2 linked regions of the Nothobranchius furzeri genome follow. The protein of the gene in region 1 interacts with the protein of each later gene in a biochemical or structural test. Links are inferred from orthologs where the notes say so. Each region holds a gene or a part of one and is shown on either strand. Other genes may lie near its edges.

Region 1 (3,500 bases):
AGTAATTTTGTTCACGAGTGAGGGAAAACTGGAGCTTTAGATCGACAGGCGGATTGGTGCTGCATCTGCAGTGATGCAGGCGTTGTACCGGTCTGTCGTGGTGAAGAGAGAGCTGAGTCAGAAGGCAAAGCTCTAGATTTACCGGTCGATGTACGTTCCTACCCTCACCTATGGTCATGAGCTTTGGGTAATGACCGAAAGAACGAGATCGCTGATACATGCGGCTGAAATGAGTTTTCTCCACAGGGTGTCTGGGCTCTTCCTTAGAGATAGAGTGAGAAGCTCGGTCATCCGGGAGGGGCTCGGAGTAGACCCGCTGCTCCTCCACATTGATAGGAGCCAGTTGAGGTGGCTCGGTCATCTGGTCAGGATGCCTCCTGGACGCCTCCCTGGTGAGGTTTTCCAGGGACGTCCAACCAGGAGAAGGCATAAAGGAAGACACAGGACACGGTGGAGGGACTTTGTCTCACGACCGCAAGGGAATGCCTTAGGATTCCCCCGGAGGAGCTGGTCCAGGTTAGCCTGGCAAGCCAGACTAAATAAATGTATTATTTAGTCTGGCAACGCTCCATTGACGGCTCTCGGTTGTGGGGCGGGTTCTACCGTTGTCTTTCAAATGATCTCCGCATTCCACTGAACAATGAATGTGACATACTCTTGTTTCACTCTGTTGTATCATCCCACCCACCAGGCATATAGAGTGCCCTGATTGGTCCACAAAGCGGATAAAGCTCTGTGATTTGTTCACTAAGCAAATAGAGCACTATGATTGGCCCACCATTATGGACCAATCACAGCTCTTTCTGTGTTTGAAACCCCTCTAGAGAGCTGTGATTGGCCAGCCAGAATGCTGTTGGGGCTTCAGAGGTTCCAATGGAGCGTTCCTAGACCAAACTTTGCAAAGCAAGAATTTTGTCTAGTTCACTAGGCTAGGTCCAGGTGGCTGAGGAGAGGGAAGTTTAGGCCTCCCTGGCCTCCCGCGACCCGACTCTGGATAGGCGGCCGACAATGGATGGATGGATTAAATTTACCAAGCTGTTGACCTTCTAGTTAAAGGGTTACAGGAAGTTGATGTCACAGCTTAAAGTGCAAATGGCTCCCAGCTACTACCACATTAAATTGTAGCTCAGTGGCTGCAAAACTGAGCTACGTTGTTTGTGTGCTAGCTAAAACACATGAGCAGTGGCAGCCATCTTGAATTAGATGTTTTGCTAACGAACAGAATCACCACCTCTTAGCAGGTGATGGTATTAAAGGTGGAACACAGAAAACCATGTTTTAATAATTATTTCTGATTCTAACGGGTCACTCTGAGTGTTTCATGCAGGCTGAACGTGGAGATAGTCTCCTACACCTATCTCCTGCATTAGCTTCAGATCAAAAACAGACAGTGAGACTCTAGGATTAGAAAATCCTGACAGATCTACGTCACACTGTCACTGAACATTCATACATGCCCTGTCAGCACTGCTGGCTAACATTGCTGTTAGCCAATCAGACGCGAGATGTCCACATATCAGGAAATGTCATCTGATGCTCAGCTCTGATTTGACACTTCCAGTCCCTGACTACGCCGGTGCTTTACATCTCCAGAGTGTGACCTGCAAGGCATTCACTCCTACTAGAGACCCCGGCGGGTGTGTCGAGTAAATTTGTGAACCACACCTTTAGCTGTTTCATGTGAAGATGTTTCAAGATGTTGAGATTTGTTCTAATAAATGGTATTTTAAACTAGCTCCTCCTCTACGATGGGTCAAACGGGGATTTTTGATCTACTTCCTGTTTTTCTCTGCTCATCTCTGGTGTCTCCCCTACAGTTGGAGAAGACCCCGCCAAGTCCCTCACGGACACGCCTCCCGAGTTCAACCAGTCCTCCCCACCGTCCAGAGTCCCGCCCACTTCCTCTCTGTCCAGCGACAACAAGTTCCACTCGCTGCCCTTCAGCCTGAACCGGAAGACCGTTCCCAATGAAAATATCAGTCAAGGGCCCATCTCCCTCTCCGTCCAGTCTGTGATGGGCGAGCAGCCCGAACCCCCGTCGCCCGCTGCCCCTCCCTCTCCACGACCTTCCACCCCTCCTCGAGGACAGCCGGGTCTGGAGGTGGGCTCTCTGGTGGAGGTGAAGGAGAACCCCCCTCTATGTGGCGTAATCCGCTGGGTGGGTCTGCCTCCGGGCCTGCTGGAGCCTTTAGCTGGTCTGGAACTGGTGAGACGTCACAAACCCATATTTATCATATATTTTATTTGTACAGATGCTCTGATTTTAGTTTTTTGTGACAAAACCGATATCTGACTCTGCACCTGCCCCTTTTCCCATAATATTTTTCCCGTTAACCTTTCGGTAGGACCAGAGGAACGTCCTAAATCTGATTTATTTAGGTAAAACGCTGAAGGAGTACTTTGCAGGAGTGAAACTGGATGATTTTTCTCAGGAAGAAGAGTGTCCCGGCTGCACCGACGGCACCTTTAAAGGTACTCGCTACTTCACCTGCCCCCCCAAAAAGGCTCTGTTTGTGAAGCTTAAGTGCTGCCGGCCTGACTCCCGGTTCCCGTCCCTGCACCATTCCTCCAATCCCATCGAACGCTGCAACTCTATTGGTGAGTCAGAACGAGGCCTTTGACTGGTGCAAACACGCAACGATTGTTCCCTAAAATGTGTTTTCTCTGTTTTCTCTGTGGCATTGGCAGCCTTTGGGGGGTATCTGAGCGAGGTGGTACACGAAAACACTCCTCCTCGTACGGAAAACGACGGTCTGGATGTCATGGTGGGGAAGAAGAAAGGCATTCAGGGCCACTACAATTCCTGCTACCTGGATTCAACCCTTTTCTGGTCACTTCCTGTTCAGATTAGAGAACTTGGGTCACATGGAACGATCCTGAATATGCAGGTTTTAACGGGGAGGGGGTTTGTTCTGCAGTCTTTTCTCCTTTAGTTCTGTTCTGGACACGGTTCTGTTGAGGCCGCGGTCGAAGACCGACGTCGAGTATTACCGGGAGACCCAGGAGCTGCTACGCACAGAGATCGTCAACCCGCTGCGCATGTAAGTCACCGTAACGACCGCCGCTGCGATCAGCTGATCGGCACACCAATCAGTGTAGTTTGTAGAAAAAAGGTCAGAAGTTTCAAACCCAAATCACTTCATCACAGTTTGATTTGAACTCTATTTTGTATTCAAACGGGACAATTTAAACTTGTAGTCTCTGCTGATGAGGGTCACACAGGTCGTCTGCTACAGCTAAAGGAAAACGTTCATCCTGCCGTGGTCGTTGCATCAGTTTCACTGCTTGTCAGATATCCGATAGAACAAGCACGACTAGACCAGGCTCACTGAAAAACCCTTTTTACTTGTTATTTTAGAAAAAACGATCAGTCACAGATGGTAAACAGTAGGGCTGGGGGTAAACGATTATTTTTAAAACGATTATTCTGACGATAATTTTATCAAATAGTCGACTATTCTAATGACTATTTAGACGATTAATCTAATGATTATTTTTCT
Region 2 (3,500 bases), on another chromosome or scaffold:
ATTATTATTATTATCATTATTATCATCATTATTATCATTATTATCATTATTATCATTATTATTATCATTATCATTATTATTATTATCATTATCATTATTATCATCATCATCATCATCATTATTATTATTATTATCATTATTATCATCATCATCATCATCATCATTATTATTATTATCATTATTATCATCATCATTATTATTATCATTATCATCATTATTATTATCATCATCATCATCATCATTATTATTATTATTATTATTAGAATGTGCTCTGCAGAGGATGCAGACTAATATTTAGATTAAAATATTTTTTGATTATGTGTAATTTAATTATATTAAATACTTAAAAATAATAAGAGGAAGTCGAGTTGAACTATACAGAAATGGAACTCGTTATTTTTTTATTCTATAAGCAAAAGAGGAACTTTTGAGAGAACTGGGCTAGCACTACCCTGCTGGTCATTGCCTCACTTCAGTCTTCATTATGCTAATATGATAGGAGTAAATTAGTAATTTAATCAGACTGGTAATATGTCAAAGTGCTTAGTTTGTTCTAAACAAGTTTTGAGCGCCCCCCACACCCCACCCCACACCCCACACCCACGCACGCACCCCGTCTTGGAACGGACAGCAGACTGCAGCAAACAGGAGTGCTGCGCTCACCTTGTCAGGATGCTTCTGCACCAACTCCCGCACTTTGCTGGCACTGCCGTGCGCTGCTTCAATGACCAGCCGGCTGGGGTTGTCCTGTTCCGTGGACTGAGACAGCAGCTTCTCCAGCACTGAGATGACAGTACCTGGACAGAGCGGGAGAGGAAACAGAAAAAAAGACACAAGAGTTAGCTTTTCCATTTCAACAGTAACCACAGACGGCTTTAGAGAGGGACAAAAACTCTAAGTTATAGGATGATGACTTTTTCAGGGCTGGAATGAACACATGAATGAGTCAAAATGTCCCTCCATGCAGTGGAACCTGACCACACACCGGTTTTGGTTCTCACCTTGTCATTGGTGAGGTGAACACATACACAGACAGAGCACAAGATGATTAAGAGCCTGCTGAGAACTTCTGACATGATGACAAACGTTTGCTGAGCTGCCAAAGCTTCTTGCTGTTAACAAGCTGCATCGCGGCATGCTACAGGAAAGAGCACTTGAAGAAACCAACACCCTGCTCGCACAATCGGGGGAAAAAACAGAAAGGCCACAGATGGAGGCGCCTATATGAGAAAGCATGCAAAGCGGAGACGGTGCTGGAAGGAGGGCTGGAGAGGAGGAAAGAACGCATGATGAAAGGTGAAGCTGGAGCTGCAGCATTTTGGGATGAGCCCCCTGGTCCCGGAGGAGGCCTTACTTCCAGATTCGATGGGGTTCTCAGCTGTCATGAGGTTGGCATCTACCTCTGCAGGCTGAGCTGCAAGGCATGCTGGGTTAAAAGTCCATGTCTGGCCTCCAAATGCAACTCGTAGGTCTCCATCTGCGTACACCTTCAACACCTTGCCGACCTGGCCAAGAACCTAGGGTAAACAACGACAGAAACCAGGTGTGAGGAGAGGGAAAGAGCAAATGAACAAATCAAGGATGTATTAATGCCCCATTTCTGTCCCTCTGACATTTTAAGTAATCAAGCAGTTAAATCCTAACTTTAAACTAGTTTGCTTTAAAAGAATTCCAGTTAAATAAAATGACTGGTTATAGAAAGAAAAACTGCTAAAATAAAGACGGCAAATAGATTTTTTGTCATTTTGTACATTTGTGAAAGACCACCCAAATCCCAAACAATTAATCCATCTAAACTGCACTTCGTCTCTCCTAAAGTCAAGTGACTTTTAGCTTAAAGCTCCACTACACCTGCATGCAGAGGTCGCCCTATCAGCCGACCTTTTAGTTAGTTAGCCTATAACTCAGCATACAGGAGTCATGCTGTCTGTCCACTCTCCATGACCGGCCTGCAGTCTCTTCACCGTCTCCATCTCCTCCAGCACTCGCACTAGCTCGCCAACTCCAAAGGTGTTGACCTAAATAAAGATAAAATAAAAGCCAAAATATGAAATCGTTCTGAATCAAAACCAGCGTATCCTGCTCCGTATTTACGTACCTTTGTGAGAGCGCCTGGGTGGAAAGTCCAGCGGATGTTGTTGCTGTACTGGACCCGGACGTCTCCTCGGTCCGTTATTCTATGAACCGTCCCGATCCGACAAATGTACTGCCAACACAAACAGACCGTTTCACCCTGGGTCTCCCCTCGGTGTGACCTTATTATTCTCTTTAGCAGCTGTAATTGCAAAGTTGGATGCTCAGCCTTGTTCTAAAAGGATTCGGTTTGTCCTAGTGGAGTGTTTTTGTGATTGTGGAGCCAGAGTTTTGTTGAAAACAAACACATTTGTGCACAACAGGCTTACTGATTAAAAAAAGAAAGTTAATGAAATACTTCTACATTTAATTAAAAGCTAAAATCCTTATTGTGTTTGTCATCCGTCTGTTTTGCATTTCGTACCTCGGCCATTTTGGGGTTCCATCCTCCGTGACCTTCCTGCATCTGTCTCAGGATGTCCACCTCTAAGAGACATTTCACCTTGTCTCCTTGCTGAAAGGAGTGGCCGTCAGCGCTCTCCTGCCGTTGCAGCTCTGCGTGTTCTCCTGAAATCAGAGATGAGAAAGAGGAAGTCGTATTGTGGTGGTAGATTTTTAGATGTTTTCTAGAACGTTTGTGTACCGACTCCCTAACAAGTGACTGGAATTGGTCGAATTTTGGTTTGCCCATTTTGAAATCTTACAACTTGGTGGAGTTTTAAAATGTTTCCACTGACAATGTTTATTATGAATTTTCTGTGTAAACAGAAAACTCAAAACACAAAAAGTTTGCATCTATTTGTTGCTCTCGTTGCCATTAGTTCCTCGTTTAATTTGTTCCAATGATGACCGACATCATGAGCCTCCATGTTATTTTGTGAGTTAACAGCTGAACATTTAGAGAATTGCTGTTTAAAAGAAATATTATGCAAAAATACCTTGTTGCATCCTTTTGTGTTGCCATGTGGGTCTCTACTGTCTCTTGAAACACGGATAAAACCCTGTTCATACCGTTTTTGTCAGATTTTCGTCTCAGGAATCGTAGGCTTCAACAAGCCATTTCAAACTTTACCCCTGTTGTGATGTCACAAACATAAGCATAGACACCGCCCCAACCTGTTGAAGCTTCTGCTTCTGCTTTGGATGTGGACAAGCAGCAGCTCTACTCCAAGCTCCTTCTGGATATCAGAGTTCCTCACCTCATAGCAGCCAATGAGGGGATCGGAAGGTTTGGCCAGTAACAGCTTAATTTCCTTAAAGCGTAACTAAACCCCAAACTAATATTTTTTTGCTAATTAACTGTATAATTGGGTCTTTGCAAATGCAACTGTTCTGTTTCTGTGCATTTTTTGACATGTTTGTGAAAACTTGATTAAATCTAGAATCTAGGTCTAAAAACCTCTTAGTGCTGCCCCCTGTGGCAGAAC

Evidence for each region.
Region 2: of the proteins of cyld (region 1) and mib2, one has a biochemical effect on the other in vitro, tested with the Homo sapiens proteins (2 studies listed by BioGRID, with this or other methods). The link is inferred for Nothobranchius furzeri from reciprocal best matches to the Homo sapiens genes CYLD and MIB2.

What each region holds. Positions count from the first base shown.
Region 1 is NC_091749.1:70,997,817-71,001,316, forward strand, and holds part of cyld (ubiquitin carboxyl-terminal hydrolase CYLD), read left to right. Parts: intron 1-1,817; coding exon 1,818-2,206; intron 2,207-2,432; coding exon 2,433-2,598; intron 2,599-2,688; coding exon 2,689-2,830; intron 2,831-2,918; coding exon 2,919-3,041; intron 3,042-3,500. UniProt on the Homo sapiens protein: Deubiquitinase that specifically cleaves 'Lys-63'- and linear 'Met-1'-linked polyubiquitin chains and is involved in NF-kappa-B activation and TNF-alpha-induced necroptosis.
Region 2 is NC_091755.1:36,254,299-36,257,798, forward strand, and holds part of mib2 (E3 ubiquitin-protein ligase MIB2), read right to left. Parts: intron 2,641-3,500; coding exon 2,498-2,640; intron 2,207-2,497; coding exon 2,099-2,206; intron 2,019-2,098; coding exon 1,914-2,018; intron 1,518-1,913; coding exon 1,355-1,517; intron 798-1,354; coding exon 664-797; intron 1-663. UniProt on the Homo sapiens protein: E3 ubiquitin-protein ligase that mediates ubiquitination of Delta receptors, which act as ligands of Notch proteins.